Elephas maximus indicus: one gene and its partner. The protein of the gene in region 2 interacts with the protein of the main gene of each other region in a biochemical or structural test. Links are inferred from orthologs where the notes say so. Each region holds a gene or a part of one and is shown on either strand. Other genes may lie near its edges.

What was found.
Region 1: the proteins of transducin-like enhancer protein 4 (region 2) and PAX5 form a complex in vitro, tested with the Homo sapiens proteins (2 studies listed by BioGRID). The link is inferred for Elephas maximus indicus from reciprocal best matches to the Homo sapiens genes TLE4 and PAX5.

What each region holds. Positions count from the first base shown.
Region 1 is NC_064827.1:45,901,349-45,917,346, forward strand, and holds the start of PAX5 (paired box protein Pax-5), read right to left. Parts: upstream 8,100-15,998; 5' UTR 7,957-8,099; coding exon 7,911-7,956; intron 1,699-7,910; exon of another isoform or gene 626-1,698; coding exon of another isoform or gene 583-625; intron 1-582. UniProt on the Homo sapiens protein: Transcription factor that plays an essential role in commitment of lymphoid progenitors to the B-lymphocyte lineage. Fulfills a dual role by repressing B-lineage inappropriate genes and simultaneously activating B-lineage-specific genes.
Region 2 is NC_064827.1:96,132,150-96,147,908, forward strand, and holds the start of transducin-like enhancer protein 4, read left to right. Parts: upstream 1-7,756; 5' UTR 7,757-8,611; coding exon 8,612-8,656; intron 8,657-9,090; exon of another isoform or gene 9,091-9,147; coding exon of another isoform or gene 9,148-9,186; intron 9,187-9,485; coding exon 9,486-9,583; intron 9,584-10,707; coding exon 10,708-10,771; intron 10,772-11,966; coding exon 11,967-12,011; intron 12,012-15,759. UniProt on the Homo sapiens protein: Transcriptional corepressor that binds to a number of transcription factors. Inhibits the transcriptional activation mediated by PAX5, and by CTNNB1 and TCF family members in Wnt signaling.

The DNA of each region.
Region 1 (15,998 bases), about 50 Mb from region 2:
GGACTCTTACTTCGTTGATTTTTCAAAGTCACCTCCTTAACTCCAGGACGCCTTTGGAGCCCTGGGCCCTGTGTCCTCACTTGGCTGTCAATCTCTTCTTCCACACATACAAGCACATAGACCCTGGTCCGGGCCCCATTTTCCCTCTAAGCTGCATCTTGGTCAACCCCGCGACTGAAAAGGACGCGATCGGGGTTGAGTGTGGGGCGCTGTCTGATACTCAGACTGACCTCTCCCTACAACTTCATGCCCTCCAACTGCCCCAGCCCGGGGCTCCCTCGGGGTCCAAGTCGGGATTCCCTGGGCACTCTGGGATGTCCCCGCCGGAGCCCCTGAATGGCTGCAGCTTGCTGCCTACTCTACGCGTTGCCGGAGACGGGATTCCTGGTGCCAGGTCCTCCGGCCCTGGCGGCCAGGAGCATTGTTCCATGTCCCTGCCTGGGGGTCTTGCACTTTTCAAAGTTGTCTGCTTGGCCACAGAGGTCATGAGTCTTTCCGGCCTTAGTACCTACCCCGCGCTCCGGCACCCCCAACCCGGTCCCTGCCAGGAGAGTGAGAGAAACGAGCTCACCGCCTACTTACTATGCATGGATGCAAACGGGTCGTGCTTACAGTGTATTTCCATCGGGGCGCTCCAGACTGCAAGCCGGCCCACGCCGCCGTCTCCCAGCGCCAAGGGGCTGCCCAGGGCGGCCAGGGAACCGCGCCGCCAGGCCGGGCACCGTGCAAGCTGGGTTCAGGAAACACTGCTGGAGCTTCGGGGCCGTCCTCAGAGCCGCCCTGCCAGGGATCGCCGAGAGCGGCGCAGAGAGGCGGGAAATCGCGCTAGTGCGTCCGGCTGGGAGCCGGCGTCCAACTCCGGCTGGCTTCACTCCCCGGCTGGCTCAGGCAGCGACTCCGGGCCCGGCCTGGGGCAGCAGTGGCCAAGGCACCCGCGGCTTCCAGGACATAACGTAGGGGCCCGCCTCCCAGACGTCTAGAAGCCTCCGGCTCAGATAGGGGTGTCTTTGAGGAGGCCGGCGGGACACGCGGCCCTTGGCTTTACTCAGGGGAGCAGCAAGGCCCGGGGAATGCCAGATTCGTCTCTCGGCCTTGCTGTCTCTGGGGTCTCTCCTCGATCCCTCGGTCTCCGCCGGATCCTTTCTCTCTCCTTCTCTGAGTCTCTAGACTTCGGACTTGGCCCTTCAGCCTCTCTACACCCAGCTTTCCGACGTCTCGGACGAAGTTGCAAAGAACTTCCTCCTTGGCAGCGCTGGGGCCCCGGTGGGTTCAGAGACGCTTCCGCCACTGACGCTAAGGGCGAGACTCCGGAGTCCCGGGAACTGGCAGCCCTTACAGCCCGGGACCCGCTGCCTTCAAAGTTTCCACGGCCCCCGCTGCTCCCCCATCGCTGGGACCAGGAATGGGGGACAACAGGGACGGACTCCTCTCGCTTTGGTATCTGCCTCAAGCCTACCAACTCCTCAAACCCCGCTGCCCTCTCTCGGGAGTCTGGTTCGACTGTCTTTCAGCTGCCTCTTCCGGGACGGCCGCCGCGCTTGCCCCAGGCGTGGAGCTAGGGCAGGAGACTAGAGAAGAAGGTCCTCGCCACCAAAGCCGCTGGGACTGCCGGGGCCGGTGCTGAGATGGAACTGCTGGCCGCTCTGACTCCCCGCGCTGCTGCCGCCGCCGTCGCCGCCGCCGCCGCCGGCGCTAGCCCTCCGCCTGCTTGGCGCGCACAGTGCGCCACCGCGCCGCCCCGGAGCCGCTTTCAGGACCCGCTGCGTGTGGACAGCGCCGCCCGGGGCTCAGCCTCCCTCCGGGCGGGGGCGGGGCGAGGAGCTAACCTGCCAATCACTCTCCGTAAAGCCAATCAGAGAAGCGGCAGCCGGCCCCAGCCCGAAAGGCTGTCCCATTGGCTGAGCTACCCGCGGGCTCCGCCTGGTTAGCCTATACCTGGGCAATGGGAGAGAATGGGGGGCGGGGCCCAGGCGGCGGCGCCACGTTCATTGACAAACGCGCGGGGCAAAGGCCTAGTGGAGCGCCCGGGGGGAGAAAGAGAGTTCCTTGGCGGCTCCCTCCAGGCAGGCCTCCTCTCCTCAGCGTTGGAACTCTGGGATGCCCTGAGGGGTTGGGGGCAGCCAAAGCAAGGGTGGAGTAAAATGGTCTCTAGAAAAAGAAAAACCGGACGTCGGAGGAAGACATGAAGCATAGTAGAGAGCCGGTTTTAATCTAGACTCCATCAGACTCTTAATGGACTCAGAATGTGTACATATCAGTCTGTTTTAAACCTCAGTCGCCTCATCTGTAAAATGGGAAGGGTTATTTTAACTCTTTGATTAAGTTTCCTTCCATTTCCTAATTTAATCAAGTGCCTACTAAGCTGCCGCCTCCGCCTCCTCGCCCACCCCCTTCTCTCATCTTTCACGCAGGGCCCCCAGTCCTGCTCTAGCCGAAGGCAGAGACGTGGGGAAAAGGAGTATCTCACACTCCTTTAAAGTTAAAACCAGGGTTCACCTGGGGGAGCGGGCGATCTAAGACTTCGAACCAGGTTGCTCAGGTTCTGCGCCACAGGCCCTCTTTTCAGCCTCAGACCCGAACCCGCCAGACGCTTGGGGGCTGGTGTTGCGCGCAGCTGGGGGCTTCCATCGGCAGGGGCAATTCCGCTTCCGGGGAGGTCTCTTGAGAACCGAACGAGGCCCAATGGTGTACAGAGCTAATGAGGGTCCCTGGAGCTAGCGGGCGGGTGGGTTCTACCTGCAAGGGTCGAGCGTAGCTGTGCCGGGGCGCTATGTTGCCTCAGCTTCCAACTGTGGTAAGAACACAACCCTTCTGCCCTGCTCGGAAGTTACTGTTGTTTTTTAAGAACAAACGGGTGGGTTTCTAGCAAAACTCTTTCAACCCAGAAGGGAAGGATCTTTAGCCAGGAGTCTCATTTTCTCCGGGGTGTGAGGCCTTGGGACCACAATCAGAGGAACCGGACAGCCTTTCTCCATCCAGGCGGCCATAGTTATGTGGACGTCTATGGTGTGCCAGGACCCGACTCTGCCCCAATGGGAGTGATCCAAAGACCCTCCATTTCGAATTCATAAGCGATGATCCTCTAATATTAAAAATAAATTCATCAACACAAGGACTCTGAGTCGCCCACTCCAGACCTGGGTTTGTAGGATAGAGCTCAGGTGGACCCTGGAAGGTCTCTCGGGTCATCTTGTAGCTTTAGTCTCTGCCTCAGTCGTTCTTCCGGTTCCCCCTCCTTATCTTTCTCACATCCCTGGCCTGGCTCGGCCCTCGGACCCACCTTCTGTCCCTGTCCCAGTCCCAGCTGCCCCTGACGGGTAGAAAAGTTTCCGGGGTTGATACCCGTCCCCACCCCTTCCAGGGCACAGCTGCGAAAAACGGCCTTAGGCAGGTCTCTGGGGGCCAGGAGGCTGCGGTGTGCTGGGGGTGGGGTAGTGGTGCTATCTCTCCTTTGTCTGGAACCCGGCCTGTCCAGACCTTCTTCCCCCGGCTCACCAGCGTCTCAGAGCAGTAAGATCACTGCAGCGGGGAGGCACCTGGAGGGGTTTGAGTTCCCGCTTTCACTCCCCGCTTGCTGGAGTCAGGTGGGTGGGAAGTGACTGGAATTCAGAGCTCCAGACCCGACTTGCGAGCTTTAAGTTCCCGCTGGAGAGGCGGGGCTGTGGAGATGCTCTGAGGGACTCAGCCAGTTACACCCCCACCAGTGTTTGTTGAGCTTGGGCCTACAAACCCAGATTCTAGATTCTTTGAGCTACAGGCTTTCCCCCATTTTACAGATGCAGGGCCTGGGGCCCAGAGGCAGGCTATGACTTGCTCGAGGTCACAAAGCAAGTCGCGTGTAAAGACTGTGAGCCGGGAACTCTTTCCCAGAAGCGCCTCTCCAGAAGAGCCACTACCGGGAAGGCAGGACGTTTCTGTGTGCCAACAGGGCTCCTTCCGTGGGGATGGGCCCAGAAAAAAGGGAGAGTGCCAAATGAAATCAAAGGACTCAGCAAGGATATGTCGGCACACGCCTGTTTCTCTTCTAATACCTGTGCAATTCAGACAGAATCTCCAGGACACTGTCAGGTGGGATGGAATCAGAGAAGATTCCTCCAACAGTAGTATCTCGAATTCCCTGTTTCACACAGTCGGTAGGTTTCCGGAGCCAGAACTCAAATCTCTAGCTTGGGGCGGCTTGGGTGGTCGCCGCGTGGCTTCCACAGGACCAGTCTAACCTGTGCGCAGAGAACGGCCCTCTCCCGCACGGCGTGATGCGCCCGGCAGAGGGAGTTTGGGGAGCGCGTCCTGCTCACCCCACCCCCCGCCTCCCCTGCGTGAGGGTTATTCACCTCCGCGGACAAGCAGGTCTCCGGAAACTTCTAACCCCAAGGGACGCGACCAGACCTAATATCCTAGCCACCTAGCTGAGCCTTACAGGCCACCGAACGCTGGCCCAGAGAGGTTACGTGACTAACCCGAGATTTCACAGCGATTTGATGGCGGAGCCAGGCTTCCGCGCCTTTGGTCCTGCCTCCAGGGCTGGTGTCAAAGCCACAGCGCTGAAAGAGGTCTGGCCTAGCAGTGCGCCAACAGTCGCGTGGTTTTGTTCTCTAAGCAGCACTGCGAGTCGGCTTTAGGGGTCCGGCCCCGTGCTAGGCACCGGGGGCTAGCAACGGTGAAAGAAAACCACCTCCGAAGAAATTCAATTTATGTAAATCGAATCGCTTTTGAAAGTTTTGCGATTAAAAGGAAGCCAATTGAAAGCCGCAAAATATTCCAAGAGCATCTTGAGCCAAAGACCCGGCTTCTCTCAGAACACACCCCCCTCTCCACCCCACTCTTATCTGTTAGATTCTCCACCTTCAGCGCGCAAAGTTACCGTCGGGTCAGGGGGTCGGGACTCTTTATTGCGCTCTGTTGGCCTGAGATGGACTCCCAAAGCCCCAGTTCAGCCCATTTTCCTGCTCTGGCTTGCGGCAAAGCGAGGCCTACAGGGCTCAGACGATCTGCTCAGTTCAGAAACGGTCAGAGATGCCGCGAACATTGCTGTCCTAAGCCATGGGTCCTTTTTAAACCTCAAACAAACAAACAAAAAATCCGAGAAGGAAAGCAGCTGACTCCAGGTTACACAGTCCCGATAGAGCCGATTCCTGCGTGATTCCTTCACCTGATCAGGGGACTGTCCTGCCTGGTCCAGAAAGTGGGTGAAGGAAAGGGGACTTTAACCAGGTTTTTCCGAGAACCAAGTAAAGGACCTTTGTTATCGTCACCATAGCACCCAGCAGGCCAGGGGCGCTGGGAACACCTGTCACCTCTTCCAAAGAAGTCAGGTCCGCAGGCCCTTCCCTTGGGGCCTCAACTCTCCCGTGTGTCTAGTGGGGAGAATAATCCCTGAGATGCCGCCTTCCCAAGGCTTGGTGAGATGAAGTTCCGTGGGGAAGCAGTTATTATTAGTCCACCCCTGGGCTCATTCCAGAGCTGAGAGCCTGGATGCCAATGTCCAGTTGTAAAGTGTAGAGTCTATCCAAGTCTTCCTGGCCTTGGGACCCCACAGCTCCCACCTCAGGCGGCTTGCTCAGTAGTAGTTTTTCTCCACTGGGGGCTGGTGTGAGGGTGGGGGGGTCTATCTCCACTCTCGGCAGGAATGAAAGGTATAGGGCCAGAGAAGTCATCTTCCAGCCCTACTCCCTCCACCTGCCCACCTTGTGATCTTAGACAAGCCCCTTTGCCTCTCTGGACCTCAGTTTTCCCTTCTCCTTACCACAAGGAGGTCACTAGGTGAGAGGATCCTTAAGTGGCTCCTGCCCATTGCTGACCTTGCTGGATCTTGGATTTAGAGCTAGGTCATACCCCTTCTCCATTGTACAGATAGGGAAACTGAGGTCTGGGAGAAGGAATGGACAAATGGTCCTGAAGGAAGGAAAGGGAGGTCAAGTGGGCCATGAAAGGACCCTGGATGCCCCTTTGAGCTCCAGCCTCGCCAACCTCGCCAGCCTCGCCAGCGTCCAGCCCACTCCTCTACCGGCTGCCGGGGGGTCCTGTAGGGTACCGACAGGCGGAAGTGCAGTGCCACCGGCTCAGTACGCCCTTTCCCCGCCTCGCCCCAACTGGTCGGTGAGGAGGGGGCGTGGCTCTCCAGATTTTCAGCCTTGGCCAGCCTAGGGCTCCCCCTCAGCCCCACCCAGGCCCGCCGCGGGGAGGAATGAAATGCTTTATTGATTAAACGATTATTCAGGCGATTGAACTAATCAAAGGGCCCATCGACCGCCGTGAATTACATTCTTCGTAGACAGCTCGTCAGGAGAGGCCCGCACAGACCCCACACCCGGACACTCACAAGCCTAGGTCCTGTTCCCAACCCAGGCACAACCCTTAGTTCTGAGCGCAGGCGCCTGGGAGAGTCCCTCCTACTGAGAGACCAGTCGCCCAGGGAAGGGAGAGCTGGCTGGGGAGGAAGGATAAAGCAGAGGGGTTTTCCAGATTCTTCTCCTTGAGCCCTGGTCCCAGGAATCTTTTGGCTCCCTTCTTTTCTTCCCTCCTCCCCCTCTTGGATCTCTGTCCTCACCTCTTTTCAGTCATGAATTCGGAAACGCACCTACCCAGGGAGTTTTCCTGGGTTTGGAACCTAAGTTCACCCTCCTCTGCTCTTTGACCTGTATTTTGGCTGGTTGAAGGTGGGGGCTCATAGATGGAATAGGAAAGGAGGAACACTGGGAGAAAGGGGAGCTCTGGAGGAGAGTGTGTTCGTATATGGGTTAGCCCATGTGGCCTGGGAGTGAAAGAAGCCCCCAGACCTGGTTAATGACTCCAGGCAGATAGGGGCCTCCTGCAGCCTGCCACCTACCACCTCCTCTCAGACATAAATACGCCCTGCTCCCCAAAGCCTGGGCCTGTAGGAGGCACACACCAGGCCCTGTGCCAGAAAGACCTGTGTGCACACAGGCTTCAGAGCGGGATGCCCAGGCTAGGCACACCATACACCCACCTGTGCTCTCCTCCACTGGAGCAGCACCCACAGGATAAAACCTGAGCACACACATCTCAGTGCTAGAGACTTGTCTGGGGGAAAGCAAAGGCAGGCTGGGGGGCTCTAGAAATGTCACATCTAGCCAGTAGGCTGCCTGTTCACACCTGCCAGGGTTATGCATATCACAGGAGACCCTTCTGTACAAATGGTAGACTTGACAGTGCCCACAGAGTGAAGTAGTGCACGCCACACACCAAGGGGCCACACGCCCTAAATACACATCTCCACCCTTGCTTCAGTCTCCAACATAATGGCACCTGGGCCTGACTGGCAGTCCCCCACAGACCCCAGACCCATCTCTGTGCCCAGAGGTAGGCACTTTCTTGTGCATTGGCATGCACACAGTGGACAGCTTTCTCACTTCCAAAATCACTTGGAGTATAATGAGTGAACATAAACCCTTAAAGGAGTAGACGCACAGTCAGACCCTTATCCGAATTATAAAAATGTCACTCATGGACACACATTTTGGATGCTCAAAAGAACATACACACAAGCATCACCTCTAACACACACTAAACATACATGGGTATAAAGACGCACACAAACTCCTGGACACCCATTCAGACATTTTATAACACATGTAATACATGCAGGACACACACATTGTCAGTCATACACATACTGAGTCCCTTTATGTAAACGCACAGACTTAAACTTACAGACTCCTAGGTAGGCACCCACATAAACATTCAGAAACAGAGAAAAACACAGGCAAATTCGCAGACACATGGACTGATGCAGAGGCTTGTGAACACACTGGGAAAAAGACACGTAAATGCAACACAGGCAGACATATAGTCAATCCCTGCGAAAATGCGGAGTGCCCCCTCCTCCCCCAGGCCCAGCGCCTGGCTGTGCTCCGTTATTACCACGCCTGGAGCCGGTATCGCGGTCCTACCTGTCCTGCTGGTCCGAGGAGTCGGGTAATTTTTCTCTAAATCCATTTTGATTTTTCAGAACTTGGTGGAATGGACAGGGAAAAAAGTTTCCACTTTTTCGTGCCTTTTTTTTTTTTTTTTTTTTTGGTGCCAGGGGCCGCTTACAGGTCGGAATAATTCAAGCCTTCCGCTCCCCCGCCGAGCTGGGGTAGCTGATCACTGAGCTGAAACTAAACGTTTTAGGTGGAAAAAAAGCGTCCGAAGGCACCGTGAAATGATTAAGGAACTAAAGAGCTTCTCGCCATGTGAGATCATGTCCTGTTCTCGCCAACATCACAAGATGTCCCCAGACGCGCCGCGCCCCCAGCGCGCGCTTCCCTGCACCGCCGGCCCCGCACTGGGAAAGGGTGTAGGCGCTGCGCTTGTGGCCCTGTTCGGTGGGCGAACCGGGCCGGACCAGAGCAATGCCGGAGGCCCGAAAAGCAGCAGAGCTGCCGCCGCGCCACCCCGGACTTTTATAGGGGCGGGGGGAGGGAAGGAAGGCTTCAAAGTGCGCGGAGCACCAACCGTGCGCCTAGTGGAAGGGGCAGACAGGAGCCGAGCCCGGAGTCGGGGCTCCACGGCCGCACTCTCTACTAGACCTGCATCTTGGGGTCTCGGCCCTACGAGCTGCGCAAGAGGCCGATGGCCCCTCCAAGTGCAAACCTTGCTGCGTAGGCGGGCGCAGGCCTGGGTTTTGTTTTTAAAGAAATCAACCATTCTGCCAGGCAGGTGCTTTTAAAGGTGGTGCAGAGGCGAGCAGTGTTGCCAGGGACAGAGGGGGCGTTCCAATATCCTCAGATTCACCCCTAGGGCGGCGCCCGCCCCTAGGACTCCTAGCCACCCCACCCCCTTCCGAATTTGCAGCTCCAATACTACAGCCCGGCCCAGACTCCTGCGCAGCGCCAGGTCCCCAAAATCCCCGGGTCCCACTCAGCCTCTTGGCCCCAAAGACCCTCCCCACCCCGGGTCCCATTGTGGCCGGGGCATGGAAGTTAAGCTGTGAAATGCTGGAGATAAAATCCGGGCCTTCGCTTTGGAGTGCCCCGGCAGAGCGGAACCACCTCAGAAGGTCCTGGAGAGAGGTGGGAGCCCGGGACATCTTACCCTGGCCCATAAATGGAATCCCTCTGCCCTCGGGCCCCAAGAAGTTGCGGAGTGCCCGAGGCCCAGGGCTTGATTCCAGAAGGGAAACCAGCCCAAGACAGACCCAGCAGAGGTGTGGCATGTCCAGCCAGCTTTCTACGGCCCGGGCTTAGGACTTCCTTCCCCTCCCCAGTCCCGAGTCCAGCTGCTCCGCGGGGCCACTGGAAACCCGTGGGGCCCGGCTGAGGAGTGATCGCAGAGACAAGGCTCTCCAGGGCGGGGGAGCACTCTGCAGGAGGACTCTTGGCCCGCCGGACAATAGCAGTTTCGGAGAGTGAATCCGCGACAGTGTTGTTTGTTTTTTGGAGGGGGTGGTCACGAGGCTTGGCCGCAACCTAGGGGGAAGAGACCAGAGCTCGAGAGAAGGGGGAGGGGGGCCCGGCGGGAACCGGACACCGCGTATCCACTGAGCCAATTTCTCCACAATCGGAAACGTGTCTGTGGATTCCCGGGCCGCCCCCCCACCAAGTGGTCTGAGCAGTCCCCTTTCGCTGCCTCCTTCTTGCAGCCCGCGGGTCCCAGTCCCTGCCCCGGGGATTTGATTTCTGCCCATCCGCTTTCCCTCCGCTGCCGGGCCACAGTCCAGGCTTCCCGCCCTCCCGCCTCGCAGGGGCTGGGAGGCAGAGCCGGGGAGGAGCGGCCTGTCCGCGCCTGGAGATCAAAAGCCCTCTCGGAATTGACATTTCACCCCGGGTTGGGGCAGGGGGTGTTTGGGGCTTTTTCTATTTAGAAGGTTTGTTTTGTTTTTGTTTGTTTTCTGTTTTTTTTTTATATTTTTCCCTTATCTGAAAGACAGCCTTTTGTTACGGCGTGTTTTGCGTATTGTTGTGCGTGTGTGTGTGTGGGTATGATTTTAGAAAATTTTGCTCTGTGCGTCTTGGTCTTTTGGGTGGGTTTTGTTTTCTGATTTGTATGTTTATTGTACTTTGTCCTTGAAGGTTATCTTCCTATGTGTCCTTAAGAAGGCTTTTCCTTTCGCGCCCGCAGTGTTTTCATTTTGTATTATTAGTAGGTTTAGCTTGTGCGTGTGGCTTTAGGTGAATTTTGTGTTTGTATTTTGTTTTCTTCGATTTTGATTTTATGAACTGTGCATTTGGATGGGAGTTATGGTTTATTTTTACGTGTTTTGGTTTTAGTTTTGAGGCTTGTGGCAAGCTTTGGTGAGTTTTGCATATGTATTTTGGCTTTGTGAGACTTTTGGACTAGAAATGGAACACCGGCCGCTACTCTGTTCCTGCCTGCACCCAGAAAGGGCAGAGAATCAGGCCAAGCAGCTCCAATGGTGGGTTTACCGTGCTCTGAAATACCGTATACCCGCGCCCCGGCGCTGCCGCGCCGCTCGTTGTGATGTCGGGGTGAACTCGAAACAAATGTTCGTTCCCGAGGGGGCGCCCGCTCCAAGTCACAACCCCCGGGAGTCCTGCGGCACCAGGGCCAGGGTCAGAATTCGCAGGGTCACCCCTCCCCCAATGCCGGGATACCCAGGCCCAGTCGCGGTTCCCTTGCCCGCTCTGGATCCTTCTCCCTTTGCTCCTGGTCACCGTGCTTCAGGCCTCCCCGATTCCTGCAGCGTTGGACTGGAGGGGCTGACTCCTGGCTCCGGAGCAGGGGGCGAAATACTTCGGAGGATACGGAATTGATGCTGCGGCCCTAGAGATACCGGGCAAAGGGCCAGAGACGCAAGAAGTCTAGGCGTCGGGAACCGGGCGGGGGGCGGGGGGGTGGCGGGGAACCATCTCCTTTGCCCGCAGTCCTAGAATCTCAGAAACCCAACTCTGCTCAGCTTTCGGTTTGGAGAGCACTCCCTGGCTTGTAATAGTAGACACATGTATCCACACCCGAACCCAGTGATATACAGCTTGAGTGCGAAAGCGAGGGAGCCTGCTCCTCGGTAGCAGCGGCCTGCAAGCCTCAAGGGGAAACCAAACTGTAGTGACCTGAAAAGAATAAGGCATTCTTTCTGTCCAAGTTGCCGGGACTTCTCCAACCTCAGCACTCCTCGGATTGTTTAATGCTACACCAGGGAGAAAAGGAGAGGCAATTTAGAGATCCCCACCGAGAGGCAGAGAGGCCTGCTCGGCCGGCGAGGAAATGCGGGTCGAGAGAACAAAAAATGGAAACGGCAGCCAAGGCTTTGGGGAAAGGCAGATTGGAGGCCCAGAAACGGGCTGGTGCAGAGACTTCTCCAGGCTCCTGTGTGCTCTGGCATTATGTGAGAGGGAGAAAGCAGAAACCGAGAACAGACTGACAGGAAAAGAAAAGAGACGCAGAAGGGGTTGGCCTAGGCACGCTGCGAGCTTCCCTTCAGCTAAGACACTGTAGTCAAAGGTGGGGGGCGGGGGGAGACGACATCGGGAGGCGAGGGGCCAAGATCGAGCTCTTCTACTCGGCCAAGAAGCACAAGGGGGCTCCAGAACCCGTGGGACTGGGCCGGGAGCTCAGTTCTGGCCCAGCGCTCCCTAAGGCCTTAGCCCGAAATCTAGCAAAGATTGTGCCACTGCGGTCCGCCGCTGGGCCTCCCTCTGTGGAAGCCCTGGAAGAAGGCTAGGGGACCGACTCTGGTCTTAGGGCTCCGGGTCGAAGCAGGCGTGGAGGGTGGATGGGAGCCGATGTCTAAGCGTGAGGCGAACAAGAGGCTCCGCCCTAAATTCGGAGGACCATTTCTGGGAGCAGCTGAGGCGGGAACTGGACTCGCAGGATTCGGGTTCCGCTCAGCGCACACGTGGCACCGCACCTTGGGCAGGCGGCGCCCCTAATGCCCAGCGCTGCCCCGCTTCATTCGCTCGGCCTGAACAGTGTCAAGGTTGAGGGTGGATGCCTAGTCGCGGCGAGTACGTCCCTCGCGGTAAAGCTTGGGGCTTGCCGGGGAGCGGTGCCCTTGTGGATGGGGGCGCCTCTCGATTGGCAAATCCCAGGGCGCAGAGAGCAAAAAGCGCTCAGCGCGGGCCAGTCGCCGCCGCCAGTTTCAAGTGGCGCTTGTGGTGGTAAAGCTGAGGATCCATTTGGGTTAAAGCACCCAGTTCTGCTGCCGGTGGGGTCCTCTGTACCTAAAGGGCTTCGAGTTCCGGCTGCTGGCTTGCTGGGGCACCATGTGCCAGCAACTAAAAAAAAAAACACCCCGAAATACTCGGGTAGCGCTGGAAAACACGATGGGGCTGCGTTCGGGGTACCTGGTGCTCATGGTGGGTTATTGCTGTTGTTGTTTTACTTTACTGCCTTTCCTGCTTTAATTAAAAGTGTTACTGAGAGAAGCGTCCAAGAGCGCGGACCTGGGGCGTTTGGATGGGCTCATCTGAACTCAAATCCAGCAGTTCAATTCAGTTCCGCGATTGGTCTCCAGCGCACAGGTACACATGGCAGACGTCAAGTGTTGCCTGATACGTATGCACAGATAACGCGATTTGAAGGCAACTCTTGGAGAATTCCGAGATAAAATTCACTCTTTTGAAGTTACTTTCAAGATACATGAATATGGAAGACAGGCAGTCAATTGTGTTTAAAATTTGCCAACACACCCCACCTAAGTATCCAAAATGGGGCATTGAAAAGATTCACTGACACTCTGATTGTTTAACCTTGAAAACAAGTGTAAATCGGTTAAATTTACTTTTATATTTCCTTTTAAATTTAGCAATATCATAATTTGAAAGTAATAAAGTTATATTTTGCTACAGAAAGTTTACATATAGGATGTTTTCTTTCTACCATTGTTTATACAAAAAACTGCTATATCTCCCCACCCCTTTTTCCACCGATATTTCTCCGTGTAATGGTAAGCTTTAAATATTCATGCACCAGCCCATTTATTTAATGTGTTTTAAACTGATAACATTTTAATGTGGTATCATCTGATTCCACGAAGTACTGTAATGTAAAGAAGCTTACATCATAAGCGAATCTGAGTGAGGGCTAGGGCACAGGTTAAAGGAGTCTTCGTTTTGGACATAGATCAGAATGTTAAAGGCAAGTGAAGTGCGGCTCTAAGCAGGCTGTTTCATGTTCTCGCTTACTTCATTCTCCCGCTTTCTATAACAACCTCAGAGCTGGGGTAGAGGATCACAGCAGGATTGGGGCGCTTACCCTGGAGGCTATAGTGTAAACCTGCAAACAGCCTCAGTCTCAGGGCAGGTTGTGGGCTGAATTTTATTTTTTCTTTTTGAGGGGAGGAGGGAGACTAAAGGGAAAGAGAGGATACTACAGGATATAAAGTCTGGATTTGAGAACATGGCTGAAAGAAAATTGTGCTCTCCAAGTCTTTCAGATTTGCTCTTGATTACCTATTTTTAGCAACTTGACCAGCTATTTGTTGGTAGCTTCTTCCAGGACTCAGTCCAGAGTGAGAAGGAAGCAAGAAGCTAGGTTTGGGTCCAAAGGGCCTTTGCCAATGCTGGTGGGCAGCCATCACCCAAAGTGTTTATATTAACTTCCCCTTTACTTTGTACTGGAGCTGGAGGACAGACCTTCAGACACTGAATGCGAATCTACTAAAAAAAAAAAAAAAAAGTGTCTACAAAAAGAAAAATTAAATATGTCCCCTGATTTATTTTCAGTAAGATGGAAGCCATTTGGAATACCCCAAGTTGGTCTGGGGAGCTTACCAACATAGAACTAGAAAGTCATTTTCCCCCTAAATCATGAAAATATTTCTAGTGAGAACTCATGGAATTGTGTTCTTTTTATAAACCAGAGTCTACCTGTCACATAAGGAACTCCAGCAATTTGAGGTCTGATGACCAAAATATTCACCTAAATTCATACCGAAATATTCGAACTGTATCGTTCATACTAAAATGCTGCCAACATTTCAATAAAAACAGTTTTTAGAACAACTGCTGGTAATTTTCTTGAGAGATCCTTATAAATTCCCCCAGAAAAACAATTAAGGAATATGTAGTCTGATTTTTTTATAGACTGTACATGTTCATCTGAATACATGTATTTGTAAGATTCTATGTAGAGACAGGCTGAGAGCTTGCATGTTGGCTTCTTCTTTCTGCATAAATTCATACAAACAAGATTTGAGATGAAAACAGTTTTGGTAATTGAAAGGGGGGCATTTTTTTCCTAGTTTGGTACATCAGTTGATATCTCATTTCTCATGCAATTTGGACGTTAGGTCTTGTACTCCATGAAGTGACAAAAGAGAATTAGGCCGGCTAAAGTGTCCAAGATGAAAACCTGTCGGTGTCTGCAGGCGGTGCCTCAAAGTGCTTCCTTGGACACACGTTCCTGGTGGTGGGGAGTTTGCTGCCTCTAAACCAGGCCTGATCTTTTGTCTTTTGACCTCTGATGCATGAAATTAGGTAGCAAAAGAAAATTTGAAGAAAAGGATACAAAAACATGGAATAACAGCCTGCCTTGACAATAGTCATTGTATCAGATCATAGCAGAGCTGCCCTACGCAGCCCGAAGTGCTTGTTTATAAGGCTGCAGGTCTTCCTGGCCACTGGCATTCCTGTTTTCCTTTGTGGGAGATCTGCATTTGTTGGGGGAGGGATTAAGGGCTCTTTTTAATTAAGGGCAGAGCTGGGTTTTGTCCTGGCTCCTTTCACCAAAACAAGTGCTTGGTTCCTCCATTTCCTCTGAGGCCCTCTGTGGAGGGTCCGGTGCCTGGGTTGAGCCAGCCGGACAGCTTCCGAGACCCAGAGCCCACCTGGAGGAAAGCTCTGCCCCTAAAGCCCTTCTGACCACCCTGGCTGAAGCCGTTTCTCCAGCTGGCATGGAGGTGGGGATTGCTTTTGGTCCTGAAGGGCCACATATCCCAGTGGGCAGCCCTCTGCTCTTTCTCCTGAGGGCAGACCCGGCAGGGGAGGCTTATAAGGTACTGGGGTCCCCAGTGCCCTCTACTGTCATGAGTGTCAGGGAGAAGTGCAAGGACATTTGCAGGGAAAACTTCCATGATCCTCCACACGGCAGTCATGTGAGCCTCATAGCCACCCTGGGAAAAGATGCACAGCCCTGTCCCAGGGCCAGGGCGTGATATCACTTGACCCCCAGGTCCTGTCCAGAAGGGAGATAAACCTCTAATTAGACCACAAGGGTGTGAGGGTGGTTGTGTGGTCAAGCCATACTCTGGAAAGGAGGTTGAAGATCTCTTTGGGGGAGTGACCTGAAATGAATGTTGAAGGATGAATAGGACTTTGCTAGGTAAATAAGGACATGCAGGGCATGATTATTGTCCCTGTTTTTCAGATGAGGCTCCTGGAGCGTTTCAAGGCATAAGCAAATTGCTGTGAAACTAGCCGGCCAAGGGTTTGGTAGTAGAAGAACTAGCAAATGCTTCTGAGGGCAGGAACTTCCAGTGATCTGGGGACTGGGGCAAAGGAAGGATAGATAAGGTGGGCACACTTCCCCTAAGATTGCCAGAGCAGCAGCTGCCAATATTCTCCTCTTACCAGATGGAGTGTATGGGCCTTCAGGGTCAAAGGAGATAGAAAGGGAAAGAAAGGCCTTAGGACCAAAGAAAAGAAACACAAGGAAGCTTAATTTCTACCGATTTCTCACCTCCTGCCCTGGGAAGTTTGCAAACTCCTCAAAAACTTCAGCCTGGAGTGTGCCTTACCAAATCCTCCAAGGCTGCCTGAGACCCTCACAGAGATGTGGCTGGTGGCCACCACTCCCTGCTCAGGCCCCACAGCTCTGAGCTCTCTCTCCCTGTGACCTTGTGGGTTGGAAATGGAGTATATGTGTGCAGTTCTCACCACTCCATCTAGTCTATGAGCTCCCTTGGGCAGGGCTCTGCCCCTGGACTCCCAGCTCTTCCAGCAGTAAGTTGTTTTGTTCCTGTACAATCACCCAGAACTAGTGCCGTCGAGTAGAGTGGCTCCTAAACTTCAATGTGAGAAGAATCACATGCAGATTCCTGAAGAGCTTGATTTAGTAGTGTGGGACTGAGCTTGGAACCTGAATGTTTAATAACTTCC
Region 2 (15,759 bases):
CCACCTATTTCGGAAAATAAAGGCACGGTTTTTCTCCCGTAATATCTGCCCCACAGGCTGTTGTGATAGGTAGCAAGTGCGGGAGCCCTTGTGAAGGCCTGGTGAGAGGCGCTGGTGACTGGGTGTGAACTGGATCCTGCTGTTAGTTGAAAGTAAAAGCTCAAGTGCTCATGCACTGTTCAGTGGTCTTGAACTGCCTTTGTCAAGCCTTCAGAGACGGCAAGGTTAGGGCTAGAGGGAGGGAGGGAGGGAGCAAGGTTTGCTTCCTGTAGCCTTGGGAAGCCTCAGGTTCAGCTTTTGCCCAGCGGCAGCTGCAACAGGCATCTCCCTGACTCACCATCCACCCCCATTTTAACAATAAAACATCTGCTTGAAAAGGAGTAAACCACGCAGGTGAATTGGGTAGGGCTCCAGTTACCGAATTGAATATCCACTTGTGGAACTCTGTTTTATGTAGATATGAAATAAGGAGGTAGGAGACAGGGTTCTTGATCTTCAGTACTCTCAAGCTATATAACCTCGGGCAAATAACTTCTTTCGGAGCCTCAGTTGATTGATCTTTAAAGTGGGGTTAATGATACCTTGTTTGCTTAAAGGCAGGAGACTGGAACAGAAAAATCTCTTAAAGGGCCCTCCCAGATTCAAAGAAAGTAGAGATAAAGTGAGCTTTTCATGAGTAAGAGGATCATTTTTAATAGTGTCCTTCTTAGGTGTGATTTGCTTTATCAACTTGGAGTATAAATACATTTGCAGATATCTTAAAATGTTTGACAAAATTGTTCAGACTAGCAAAAGTCCAGGATTTCTCTCAGACCCCTAAACTATTGCTGACATAGGTGTCCCTATTACACACAGGGGGTCCTACACAGGTCTTTATCATTGTCCAACACTTAGCCATTTGCCCCAAAACACTCCATTAGTGTCAACATGATTGAACCAAAAGGGGGTTTCCATTTTCAACTAAGAGTTCCTTCAGAATGAGAAGAAAAAACAGTATTCCTTGTCTCAGTAACACAGGTACTGATGTTGAGCCCTGGTCAACAGTCCATTCTCCTGTTGACTTCATGGAGAATTCTAGACATCCCCCTTTTGCTGCACTGTCCCCTGTCTACTAGCCTTGCCCCTCAACACCCAGGTGGGAAGAAAACAGCCTCGGTGTTCATTCCTTCCAGCAGTTAGAGACTATCTCAAGTGGTTCAGATAATGCAGCATCTCAGAAAGGAGGCTCTTCTCCCAGAAGCCTTCTTATTCCCTGTGCAAACTCTTCAGCCCCACTCCCAAGCCAAGCCATTCCTTTCCCCAAATAGGCAATGGGTACCCGTCATGGGTTGAATTGTGTCCCCCAAAATATGTGTCAACTTGGTTAGGCCATGATTGCCAGTATAGTGTGGTTGTCTTCCATTTTGTGATTTTCCTATGTGTTATAAATCATAATCTTTGCCTGTAGTTGAAGAGGATTAGGGTGGGATGTAACCCCCTTGCTCAGGTCACATCCCTGATCCAATGTAAAGGGAGTTTCCCTGGGGTGTGGCCTGCACCACCATTTATCTTACAAGAGACAAAAGGAAAGGGAAGCAAGCAGCGAATGGGGACTTCATACCACCAAGAAAGCAGTGCCGGGAACAAAGCTCATCCTTTGGACCCAGGGTTCCTGCCCAGAGAAGCTCCTAGTCCAGGGGAAGATTGATGACAAGGGTCTTCCTCTAGAGCTGATGGAGAAAGAAGGCCTTCCCCTGGAGCTGATGCCCTGAATTTGAATCTCTAGCCTATTTAGACTGTAATAGAATAAATTGTTCTTTGTTAAAGCCACCCACTTGTGGTATTTCTGTTATAGCAGCACTAGATGACTAAGACAGTACCCATTTGCCTTTTATCTGTCAAGTTAAGAAGGGATATGCCAACACAAAGAGGGCCTGGCTATCTCTACTACTGAACATAAAAGCAGCCGGCAAAATTAAAGCTCTGCCTCACTAGACAAGTTTAGAAACTTGGCACTCTATCTGACATCAATTTACTAAATCTTTTTTAATAAGGATCACTGTGTATGGCTATCTCTATCTTATCATAATTGGAGGGTGGTGACAAGTCAGCTACTGAGCAAGTCAATTGCCGATCTAGAAATGGATTTATGTGTCCTTGATTCTCTGTGATGATTTCTGTTCTAGTATATTCAAAGCAGAGCGTGACATTTCTGAATTGCATAGGTGGCTTATATTCAAATTAGAATTTACTCATTACTCATTAGTGGCAGTGCCAAAGGACATGTTTGGGGGGAATGGTAGGGTTAGTGCCTTCATAATCTTCATCAGCTTCTCAAGGTAAAACTAACAGATATTCTTTAATACGGAAAAGACACTTTCTCAATCTTAGGTCAAGTGTGAATAAGAGCACCTTTCAATTACTTTGTTATTTGTAATGATCCTGTGTCTACTTACAACATGCATCCATCTACCTTCCCAGCCCACCCCATGGTTTTCCATTGCACTCAAAATAGAAAACAAATACTGTTATGGATTGAATTGCATCCCCCCAAAATATCTGTCAAATTGGCTAGGTCATGATTCCCAGTATTGTATGATTGTCTACAATTTTGTCATCTGATGTGATTTCCCTGTGTGTTGAAAATCCTATTAGTATGATGTAATGAGATGGATTAGTGGTAGTTATATTGATGAGATCTATAATAAGCTTAGATAGTGTCACGCCCATCTCTTTTGAGATATAAAAGACAGATGCAAGCAGAGAGACATGGGGACCTCATACCACCAAGAAAGCAGCACTGGGAGCAGAGTGCATCCTTTGGACCCGAGGTTCCTGCAAAGAGAGTTTTTTCTGGCATTCAGGCCTCTCTTAACTATTGCCTCCTCCCCACCTTCCATGACCTCTCATCTGAACTAGTTCCACCACTCTAGTCACACCTAACCAAAACCAAACCAAACAGGTTGCTGTTGAGTCAACTCCAACTCATGGTAACGCCATGTGTTACACAGTAGAGCTGTTCCATAGGGTTGTCTTGGCTGTGATCTTTACAGAAGCAGGTCACAGGGTCTTTCTTCCGTGGTGCCAGTGGGTATGATCAAACCGCCAACCTTAAGCTCATTAGTTGAGCGTAAACCATTCACATCACCCAGGGACCAGTCACTCCTATCCTGCTTTATTTCTCTTCATAGCACTTACCACCATCTTCTTATTACACTGTAACTTGTTTTTTTTTTTTTTTTTTTATTCCTCCATTGGAATGTAAGCTCTAACAAGGAAGAGACTTTGCTTGTGCCATTTACTGTATCAGTCTGGGCACAATCAAGAGAGAAATCATAGTTACTTGAACAAGGAAAGTTTCATATAAAGAATTATTAACATAACAGAGAATTGAAGTAAAGACGGATTGACTGGTACGAAGTAAAGAGACCTCTAAAGGATATAGAAATAGCAGATATAAGGAGCATTCACTGCCCCTAGAGCTGAGATAAGAGTTTCCAAACAAGAGTCTCCCCCCAACTCCCCACACACCCTAGAGCTGAGATCTAGATTTTGTTGGAGGGGCAGCAGCTGTGGCTCTTTGAATGGCAGTGAAGATGCTACAGTATTATGCAGGTGGACCCTGCTGCAAATATGCCTTCTGGAAATTGCCAGAAACCTGCACCCCAACACTTGCTGGAAATCCATCCTCTGGGGTGCCGGGGAAAACTGTCTGGGAAAGTATCTCACAGAGGCACTCCACACAAAACTGCCTAAGGGGGGTTACATGGGAAGCTGCTGGCTGCTGGGTTCTGCTGCTCGCCATGGGTACTATAGGAACATGCTGATGAAGCACACCAGAACCAGGAAGCAAAACCCTTTCCCTGCAATGTCTCTCCAGTGCCCTCTACTGGCAGAGCCTCAGAGCCAGCTGGCAAAAGGAACAATTTAAAGGGCCCAGATCCATTTTCACAGAGCAGGCAAGAGGGTGAATTTGGAGCTGGCAGGTAATAAATCACTAAATCACATTTACTCATGTTAAATTCCCATGTTCTGGCACATATTAGGTACTCAGGAAATATTTGGTGAAAGTATCAATGATTTATAACATACAACCGAAGTGAAAACAATATACTTGCTTTACACGTCACTTCAAGACTGGCCCTCTAGGTTCAGCTTCCAACATGATTGTTGTTACCCAGTCCCTTCTACATGAAAATTTTGGAGCCCACACTATGCACTAGGAATAAGACGATCCCCCATGTAACTTCACAGCTCATCTCAATAGTTTGCGAGAAGCTCAGAGTGCAGAGGAGACAAAAGTAGCCATAAGCAGCACTTGTCTGTGTTGGGACTAGGACTGGGCCACGAGCTACCGCACTTGGCATCTGAGACATCACTGAGAGTTATACAGATCTGCCACGTAGCCAGGAGCCCTAGTAGCACAGTGGTTAAGTGCTTGGCTGCTAACCAATAGGCTGGCAGTTCAAACCCACCTGCTGCTCCATGGGAGAAAGAGGTGGCTGTTTGCTTCCATAAAGATCTACAGCCTAGAAAACCCGATAGGACAGTTCTACTCTATAGCGTCGCTATGAGTTGGAGTTCGATTTGATGGCAATGGATTATGGGCCCCATAGCCAAAATGTGAAACATCTCCAAGTGCTGTATTTTAAAACTGTACTTAATAAAAAATAAACATCCTGATTTCTCTAGTCGCTCTTCTGTTGACATAAACTGTCAAGAGATATTAGGAGAAAGGTCCCTGCTACAAGCTATTTAATATTTCCTAACAGAGCAAAGTTTCCCCTTTGTCCACTGGCCCTCTCAATAGCTCTTCAGGTTCTATTATTAGAATTCTCATTTCCTGTACTGGGAAATAACTGCACAGAATTTCAATAAATACAGCCCAGAAGATGCAGAAGCTTCCTATATTGACACAACATGGCATTCATTCATTAATGTCATCAACAAATATTTACTGAGCACAAACTATGTGCCAGACATCAATCTAGGCATTTGGAATGCAGTTGTGAGCACAACTACATAAGTCCCTGTTCTTATGGAACTTGCTAACATTCTGGCTAAAACAGAGAACATGGAACTTCCCAACAGAGGCAGTACGGATGATTTAACCAATTACTGAAAAGCTCCAGTGGGAGCAAATAACTGACCTTAGGATAGAATACTGTTGCTGCCGGTGTTCTTAGAAAAATCACTGTCCTAGTATAGAAATTGCATCACTTGGGTCTTCTAAATTTTGATTCTTGCAAATGTTTCAGGACAGTATTGTCCAATGGAAGTAATGTGATCCACATAAATATTCTAGTAGCCAAGTTAAAAAAAGTAAAAATAAACAGGCAAAAATAATACTAATAATATATATTGTTTTAACTCAAAATATTATTTCAACATGTGTAATCTTTATGAAATTATTGAGATATTTCAATTTTTTTAAATATTAATTCTTCAAAATCTGGTGTGTAAGTATACTTAGAGCACATTTTATTTTGGATTGGCCACATTTCCGTGCTCAACAACCACATGCAGGCAGAAGGGATTGAATGACAGAGGTTCAGAAAGCCGTAAGATTCCTCTGTCCTCTTATTTTGGGGATGGAGGAGAATAGGTTTGCTGAATTGAAACATTCTGTGAGCTCTAGTTCCAGAGTTTTAGTAAGGAATGAGAGGCAAGTGAGGACCACCATAGCCTTCCTTTGCACCAGCACTCCACAGCGCCCAGCACAGAGGCAGGCCCATGCATGCCATGTGCTAAAAAAAAAATGGATTATTAAATCATTAATTCGTCCACCGTAACATCGTCAAGAAGGATGGTTTTCCACTAATGCTGAACCAACAGCACTCAGACACACTAGAGTGGGCAAAACGACACTCAAAAATGAATGCCCAAATTCAAGACCATTAGATTAACCAACCCTTGCCTGTTAACTAAAAGGTCGGCAGTTCGAATCCACCAGCCACTCCTTGGAAACCTCACGGGGCAGTTCTACTATGTCTTATATAGGGTCGGCAGGAGTCTGAATCAACTCCATGGCAATGGGTTTTGGTTTGCTACTTGAACCTTTTCCGAATTCTTGCCCAGCCCCCAAAGAACAGAGATTCTCAAGAGATGGCTTGGAACCCTCACGTCCTCTCTCTCAAACTGGGGAGCTGCCACCGGCTGGATGGGAGCTAAGGTTGGAGGGGCTGCCTGCCCTGGGTCACTCCATCCTTGCCACGGAGTCTAAGTTCGCCCCACAGTATAAGCCCTTTTCATCTAGGCACGCCCCCTCCCCGCCGAGGCTGCCCCCCACCTACATCCCCGAGACTGCTCCCAGCCACCCGCATCTCTCCTGCCCCAGCCCTCGGGTGGCCCCCATCTTCCCAGCTCCTACCCCGTGGGGCCCGGCCCGCATTTCCCGGAGCCCCGCGTGCCCTCGGTTTCAACAGGGCTGGCTACTCCCAAGAACAGCGGGTGGGAGGGGCGAGCGGCGGCCCTGGAGGGAAAGGAGACAGTCTTCTTCCCACTAAACTGGGAGCCGGAGCATCTTCGAGAGGAACAGGGAACATTTTCTTTCCAGTGCCAGTGGTAGGCACCATGTTGGCCCTGCTTAAATGAGGACCGAATAACAGTCTGCGAGATGCAGGCGGACCCCTCGGCAAAGTTTCTTCGGGAATCCTGCGGCCCTCACCCCCGGGCCTTCAGCCCACCTCGAGGCTGCACGGATGTGCCCCCGCGGCCCTCGGGCGGATCTTATTGGGGCGCTTCCTTCCCTAGTTGCTTGGGAGGAAGCGACCCCGCTTCGGGGTTAAACGGTAATCACAGCCTCCCCCGAGGCTGGCAGGGGTGCCTGCCCACCCGCCGCTCCCAGTCCCCCGCCCAGGCAGGCGTCTTGCAGCTTCGTCTACGGCTCTAAACAAGGGCAGGGGCCCGAGTCCGCGTTCACACGGAAAATTATGCCGGCTCCAGCGGCGCGTAAAATTGATGTGAACCGAACGAAGTGGGATCAGCGTGATCCTCCCTCTCTTGTCTCAACAGGGGTTTCGGCGCGTTACACAAGGCCGAGCTTGTCTCTTTAAGGAGACATTGGACCCTAATTAGTCCGCATTCCTGGCGAGGTCGCGGAGCAAGGGGAGGGTGTTTGAGGAGGGAGGATGAGACTCGGAAGGAGATCTTCTGACCAGCCCCAGTCTCACCGCCCCCTTTACCCCCTTTATTTTGCCTCCGCCACCGCCACCAACACCCAGTTCTGAAGATGCAGCCAGGGCAGCAGCAACAGCAGCCGCCACCGCCGCTTCTGCTCACCCCACGTTACTTTGATTGACAGCTGAACAAATGTTTCCCTGGTTCGAAAGCTCGCGCTAAGGAACATGAGCCAGGACGAAGCTCCGCCTTGGGCGGGCCATCTCCGCCCCGCCTCTGTCAACCCCATCCCTTTCTGTTCATTGGTTGAAGCCGCAGGCGACGCCCGGCCCCCACGTGGGTTTCATCCCGGCCGGCTCCTCCCCTCCGGCTCGCCATTTGTCAGCAGTGAAATGATGGGCAGTAACACAGAACGGCGATTAATGTTCAGCCATCTCTGATTGGTTGCTGGAGATGCCGGCCGTGTCGGGGGTGGGCGGAGCGCTTGGAGAGCGCCCCAGAGCGGTCGCGTGGCCGGCCGGTGATTGTAGTCAATCTGGCCGGATCCTCAGCCTTAGTCGCCGTAGGTGGACTACATCTCCCGGGATGCTCCGCGATCCCTCACGGACGATTGTGAATATGTATCAGAATGTTAATGATTAGCTGCTGCTAAATTTGGTCAAAGAAGTCACCTACACAGAGCGTGTTGTTAGAGCTGTTCTGAGCGGGTGTTTGGCTGTTGGCTGCTGTCTTCCCCCCTTTCTCACACACTTGTATATTATTTTGAGGTGGTGTTCGCAGAGTTTGAAAGGAGAGAGAATTAAAAAAAAAAAAGCCGCAAGCGTTTCACTCTTTTATTTTTATAATCCCCTTCAATTTGGGGTTAAGAAAAAAAAAAAGACAAGAAAACAGGAAGGAAGAAAAATAAGGAAATGAGATGTGGTAAAAGAAGCTAAAAGGTGCCTTTTAAAAGATCGTTGCTGTGAAGTGAAAAAAATCTCCAGAGAAACTAAAAAGCACCGGCGAGACCTCTTCGAACCAAAGGAGTGTTTGCCTTTAGGAAAGAAGAGATCTTTCATTCGGAGGAATAACAACCAATTAAAAGACAAATAAAAAAAAGTTTGGAGTGGGGCGCAGAGCGAGCGAGAGATTGAACGGCGCTGCCGGCGGGCAGTCGGGCGCGGAGCTCGCACTTTCCCGGCCGAGCTGAGCGGCGGGGCTGTGGCGCTGGGCTCGGCGGACGCGCCTCGGCGAAGCGAACGTCGGAGCGTTGCCGCGGGAGACGCGCGCCGGACAATGCCCGCGGCGGGCCAGTGACGCCCGCGGGGAATGCGGAGCGGCCCGGCCACCGGGATCCAGCCGCTGCCGCCGCGCGTTCCTCCCGCCCGCGTCACGCAAGACCCGGCGGGGGCCGCGACTACCCGAGCCGCCCCTCGGACCCGGCCGGCCGCCTCCGCCGCCGCCTCCTCCTCGGGACCATTAAAGCCAATGAGCCGCGCGCTTCTGGCCAGAGCAGCCAACTAAATCGGTTTGGATGATTCGCGACCTGAGCAAGATGTACCCGCAGACCAGACACCCGGTGAGTGCGGGCGGCGGGGCGCGGGCTCGCCCGGCGCCCGGGGATTCCCTGCGTCGCCCCCCTGTGTGCTTAGTTGTGTTTTGGCCGGAGGGGCGTGGAGTGCGGCCCGCAATCCGCGCGCGGCTCTGGGAGCTGCCCGCCTGCCATCCCCCGCCTCGGCGCGGTGCCACTTTCGGAGAGGGGGTGCGGAGAGGCAATTGAGTTGTAGCCATTTTCTTATTGTTGTCTTTGAAGCCCCTGGAAGCCGCGCGGAGTCGTTCGCCATCCCCTCGCCGCGACTCCGGGGTGGGGGGGGCGGAGAGCGAGCGATGAAGGAGGCGCGACTCCGCGCCCGGGCGGGGAGGGCGCCCTCGGCGGCGGCGCGGCTGGCCCGGCGGCTCCGGAGTGCCGACCCCTGGGGGCGGGCGAGCGAGGGAGCCCGGGAGGGTTGCGTCTGCCTCCCGTCTGCGCCACCACCCCCTCCCGCCCCTGCCTGACCGCGGCCCGACGACATGGCGCGAGTCCCCTCGACGGGCCAGTTTCGATTCCGGGTGCGGAGGGAGTGGGTGCGGTGCAACGGTGCTGTTGGCGAGGGAGGGAACGGGGTCTCGAACCTGCGGGGTCGGGGGTACGCGGGGCCAGGGACGAGAGAACGCGGGCCACTCCGCAGTCAGCTCTTGCCCAGGCTCTTGGATGAGAGAAGTGGGTGGGAGAAGAGTTTTAATCGCCCTTTCGCTGCCGGTGCGACGACCCCCCCTCAAACCCTAATGCTAGCGCCGCGTGGTGGGTTTTCTCCAGCTCCTTGCTTTGCCTGTGATGTGGGCTAATTAAGTATTTTATTGTTCTTTAGGCACCGCATCAGCCTGCACAACCTTTTAAATTTACGATTTCCGAGTCCTGTGATCGGATTAAGGAAGAGTTTCAGTTTTTACAGGCTCAATACCACAGGTAATGATATTGACTTTAGCTGATCCTTCTGTTTGCTTAGCTCTTGTCTCCTCCGCCCCCCCAAGACACTCAAACACACACAAACATCCCCCCCCCGTCTTATTTTTGGCCACCAGAAAGGCGTTATTACTATTTTTTCTTGCAGGCAGGAAGGGCAAGTAAAGGCCTCTTTTCCTTCAGGCAGGTGTAAAGAAATTAAAGATTTCTTCTGTAAATTAAAAAAAAAAGGCGAGGCAGAACAATCGAAACTAGGGGAGACTTGGAAAACGCTGAGACCAAAACTTTCGGTATTGATTTATTAGGGCTAGGAGAATGGAAGGTTACGAAGATTCAGGGGCCTTTTGACTTCCTTGGTTCTTTATTACCCTGGGGTTGATTCCTTCTCACTTCTCTCTGCCGTTCCACTGGAATACCAAGAGCCAAGAGCCTTGGAAAGTCTTGAGTGAGCGAGTTCATTACTTTTTTGCTGAAAAAAATGTTTTGTTTTAGAGGAGGTCATTAGAGTGATTTTCAAACATTTTTATTTTGCCAGCTTTTAATGATGTATAACTGGTATTTCGAAAATGCAAGAACCAAAAAAACCACTGAACCCAATCTACACTTTGCCCCTGGGTGGTGGTATTCAACTTGTCTTTGTGTTTTGGTGGGAAGAAATAAGACATCATTCATAAGATATGCTTGATTCATATTTTTATTAATCTGTTCGTGGAACATTAAAGAAAAAACTCCATTGTGACATTCTGGGGGACTGACTTGTGCTTGGATATGTAAATGTTATTGATGTTTATTTTCCTTGTTTTTTGTTTCCTTTAGTGAGTTTAGCGAGTATGCATTTCTGGATGAGGTTCTAGAATTAAATTTGCTAAAAGGGCTTTTTTTTTTTTTATATATATCTTAAAAAAGCAAACAAAAAAAAGAACCCCCATTTGATCTTTATTGAAAGAACAAGTCTACGCTGGCTCTAATCACCTGTTTCTCTCCCTTCCTTCAATAATGAGGGTGGTTTTCAAGATTGTTGATTCGGTGTTTGTAGGTGATGATTTAGAGACGGGCTTGTGTACTTAGATTTGAAGGATGTAAGTCAAGTTCTGCGTTGTACTTAGATTTCATTGTGTCTTCAACAGCTTGAAGCTGGAATGTGAGAAACTCGCCAGTGAGAAGACAGAGATGCAGCGGCATTATGTCATGGTAAGAAAACTGTGTCAGATTCAAAGTGCTTATTAGTTTAAGATACCAAAAGCTAGAATATGTTCAAATTGCTGGAGGCTGCAGGATAGATCATAGTTGTGGTGCCATTGTAGTTGAGGTTGTGGGAATGTGTCCATTAGCAACCTGTAATTCTAAGATGTTATAACTTGCCTTTGGCAAGCACCTTTGATTTGAATTCTCAAAAAGTTCAGCTGCGTGGGGTATAATTTTCTGTGCTTTGTTTTCATAGATAGAAACAACAACAACAACGGAAAAAACCTGATTTATGTTTTGTTTAGAGTCACAGCAAAATGTTTCTGTTAGTGGTTTTCTTTGTTGTTTTATTGCTCTTGCTCCAAATGGTTTTAACCAGTTTTTTTTGTATACCGTTAAGGTTTTAATGTGCTTTGATACTTTCAAAGAATGATGGATAAGAATAGATAACAGACCCCTTTTCAGATTTTTTTTTCATTCTTTATGTTACTATTGGGTGTGTATGTGTGTGCATTTTCACTTTTTATAGGATTGGTTTGAGGAGTGTTGTGGTGTCTAGGATAACTGATTGGCTCTGCCAGAATTTCTATAAAGCCAGTTGTACTACATGTTCAAAAAAAAAATCAGTTCTGCTTTTTCAGAAGTATTACCAAGCATATTTGTATGATTGTTTGTAAAGGCTACTGAGTAACTTACTCATCTCCTATCAAGCTTTTTTCCTTTGAATGTGTGAATGTGATCAATATACTGAAAATGAAAAACTGAAACTCTTAAGTAGCAGCACCCTCTGAATAGTTTTTTCAAAACATCAGCATTGGTACGAGAAGCGTTTTTGCCATTAACTTGACCACTTGTATGTTTTGCCTGGGAGTTACAGTCCATATGGTACTGAATTTTCATTGGGCTTTTTGATTCATCCGTTTATGATGTAAAAATATAACCGGAGATGTTAAGAATGCTGTGTTTGCACTTAATTTTTCAGTTTTGTGAGTTAGTGAGTTATTCTTTTACAATCCGTGTCTTAAGGTGGCTTCTAGTTTATTAGGCTAAAGATAGTGGTTGGCGTTTCCTTGATTTAGAGGCATAGGTGTTAGGGATGTTTGGGCTTAGGTGAGGCTTTTATTTTATTTTGGGGCATTTTGAACAAGCTTAGGTTGCTTGATGAAAGGCACTAATGTAATTGCTTTTCCTTCTTTGACAGTATTACGAAATGTCCTATGGGTTGAATATAGAAATGCATAAGCAGGTAAGTTATTTTGTTTATAACCATTTTAAGTGACAGTTGGTAATACTGCGTACTGAAAAAAAAAAGAATTGTATGTTTTGTAAATTTGCCTGCTTTTGTGGCAGCCTGTATTTTAAAAAACTAGATAGAATGCTGTTTTTCGTGTGTGGCTCCCCGTCTTTGTTGTATATTATCCTGATTTTAATTGTTTAAAAATGTGATTAAAAATGTCTGAATGCATGCTGATCTTGTATACACTTTCAAAATCAGGATTCTAAATTGGAAAATATGTCATTTTTCTTTGGAAGGAGTTACCTTACATACTTTGGGCATTGCAAACTTGTTTTAGGGAAGAGCTTTTCTTGGAAAATGTTAAAAAATAAAGCTAAATTGTGTGGAGCCTTTTAGTTGGCTCAGTGTGAAAGAATGGATAGAGGGTGAGCTGGGGAAGATCAAAATGAAGTCTGTGGAGCTACAAAAGAGATTGATGTAAAATCCTTGTTCCGGTCCCCCGAGGCTACTTAGTTGGGTCTTAGCAGGAGCTGTAACAGTTACTTCCAAAATTTGTGCAGCGTAAATGAGCCTGATAGAAGGATGTGATGAGGTTCAACACTGGGTCTTAGAATCTAGCAATTAGTTCAGCCAAAAAGAAAAAAAAAAAAGGTAATGATTACTCAGAAAGTGCTGATCCAAACAGCCTTTTTTTGCAGGAGACTGAATAGAAAGGTTTGGCTTAAGTGTCCTGGACAGGAACTAGCGTATGCATATATGTATGCAGTGTATATGTGTGTACCCATACCTGTGCGTACATGTTGAATATTGTTTGGTAATGATAATTCTCATGGAAGCGTTTATTTTTAGTGATCTAGTAATAGCGCTTTAAGTTTCATTAACCGTTTCAGAATAGTGTGTATACGTTTGCTTGCTGGGAAAAGACGAGATAAATTTGATGCTTTTCGTCTCTTATTTAAGTTCAAGGTGGATGTCATTACCTCCTAAGTTTAGAAAATATGAAATGACCACATTATTAGGCTCTTACTCTTTATGGATTCTGTTTTCGGCATGGTTGTTCACCACATGCTCAGAACGCAGTCAGTAAGTCTTTAAATGACTGTTAAACAGTAAAAGCAATCAGATGGATGGTATTTGAAAACAAAATGAGGAAAATCCAGTCATTAACTTAAACTGAGGTCTTTTATTTCAGATACTGTTTTATTTCACGTACTACTTGGTTATGTCAAGATGAGTATTACAATATAGTTTGAATGCTGCGTGTTGAAATTAAATTCTTACTTTGGCATCTTCGCAGTTTCTGTTTAGATTAGTAATATAAACATTTGCTTAAACAAAGTCCGCTCAAGTTATGGGTGGGCGCCCCTTAGCTTTACCTTGCAGGAATAAATTACATGAGAGATATTGTTTGTTAATGACCCTCATTATATTTCATTTCAGGCCTGGATCTTGTACATGGCTTTTTTTGCCCTCTGTCCCCCCCTCCGCCATAAGTAGTGTCTTTTCAAAGATTAGGCCAGATGGTTAACATCCCTTTATTTCTCCTTCTGTATCTCGTTTACCTTAACCACTTGTTTCCAGGTTTTCTTATACCACTTACATTTCTGAGAGGTACATAGCTTGTATTTGGCTGAATGTATTTTATTTTTTGGTATGTGAGATCCTTTAATTTTACACGTTTTATGCCTCTGTGATTCTGTCATCTTGTCCAGCTGGCCTCAAATGCCATGCATTTAAAATTGAGAATGGAGTAAATTCCCCCCCCCCTTTCTTTTTCCTCTTGCTTTTAAATTCAATCATATCGAGAATCCTGAGGGCAGTTTATCACATTATGAAATACAGACAGCCCTGCAAACCACCTACTTATTATATTTTCTTTCTTTCCCCCCTTAAGCACAGAGGCATATCTGTCTTTATTTGTTTTCCTGGGCAGACGGCCTTGATTCCTCTCAGCCTCTCCTCCAGATGCACTTGCTGGATGCCCTTGTAATGGAAAGCAGCAATAATGCAGGGAAGTTGCCCTGCGGTGTAATTGGGCCTAGTTCTTAAGATCGGGTTAGGCTTATTCACTTATTAGATTTGTGTCTCGAAGGGTTCAAGAGCAGGAGTCCCCAGAGTCCTTGGAAGTACCCCCTAGTAATTGGTGGCCCTGATATTTGAAACCTTTGTGTATTTTTTGGTTAACGCTCCTGTTCTTGGCAGCAGCCAGCCACAGAGTATTCATTTTTAGAGAAATTTTTCATTGGAACAGAAAATGATGGCTGTGATGGAGTCATGACTCTGTGACTTAGCAAATTGATAGGATGAAAGCACAGAGCAGTGACAAACAGGGTGGGGGGGACCATCCCCCCCCTTTTCCTATGATGCTCGTCATCAGTTACCCTTTGTTGCTTCTGATAGAGGACTATAAAGTGAAACCTATGGGGAATTCGTCATTCTGAAATGAAAGCTAATGTAATTAGTACCAATTAAAGTACATTTAGTAAATTGGATTTAATCTTAATTAAGCCTGCATAATGTTGCCAATTTTTAACAATTATGTTTGAGAACATAATTAATTTAAATTTTGGTAACTGAGTAAATAGTATTAGTCTGGTAGAATTAGTTGATTTTTTTTTTTTTTAAGGGAACTCAGTAACATGACATGGAATTAGAGCATAAAATATCAATCTAATTTCTGGTCATCTTCAGAAGGATCAATTGGAGCTGAGCAGATGAAGCTGGAACAAACCCCGTAAAGTTAGGGTAGAGAGTTCTAGGCTATAGTATGAATTAATGTTTCTCTGCTGTCTTAAGTTCTAGTGTGAAAGTGAAGATGACAAATGGGACACGGTTAGAAATGTTTTATTGTGATGTCTTCATAATGGAATTTTTTAAAAACTGAAAGAACATTGGCCTTTCTGCCCTAAGGATTTCCCTAAAGTGTGGGGTTGTGTTTTTGGTTTTCGATGGGCCAGTTGGCCCAGGATTTAGTTGTTACTTTTTTTTTGCTGATTGTTCCTCTTTATAAATACAGCGTGGCTTCCCCTAAATGGGTTAGCGATTGTGGGGAGAACGTGATGATGCATGCAGTTAGTAGCATTGCTAAATGCTGCTTGTTCCCATCCTTCACCTGTAGTGCTGTAATTAAAGAGGACCGCCCTGATTTAATCTGGCAGCAGCAGTTACCACTTTAAAAAGTCATGGAGATTAGGAACAAGAGATACGTGAATTAAATCTATAACCCAGTAGGGATTTTAAAAAGAGATGAATAGACCACATTTTGAAACCGGAGAGAATGAGAAACTCCTGACATGTTCATAGTTAGTATTTTGTAATCCGAAGGCCTTTTTGCTTCAAAAAAAATTTAGGCTACTGTTTGTTTTTTAGAAATCAGAAAATTTTAGTATTCTCGAACACTTAGAATCTAAAAGTGAATACGGCATATTTGTCTATAAATGTTTGTGTTTACATATGTGTGTGTACATTATACGTATGTATATATAGAGAGGTCTTTTTTTTCTTTTTAGTCATGGCAAGAAAACTCTTGTTCCACTTCAAGCCATGTAAATTTTATTACAAGACTTGGGCAACAACCATTTGAGTGCTGCTAAAATATTAATTGAATAGAAATGAAAGGGCCTTGCCAACTGATAGGATATCATAATCATAGCCTCTCTGGTCGATGGTAAATGATGATAAATGACGTTAGGAACCTTTTAGCAAACTGTAATAACTACAAGGAGGGAAGCAGTATGGATTTGCATTGTATCTGATA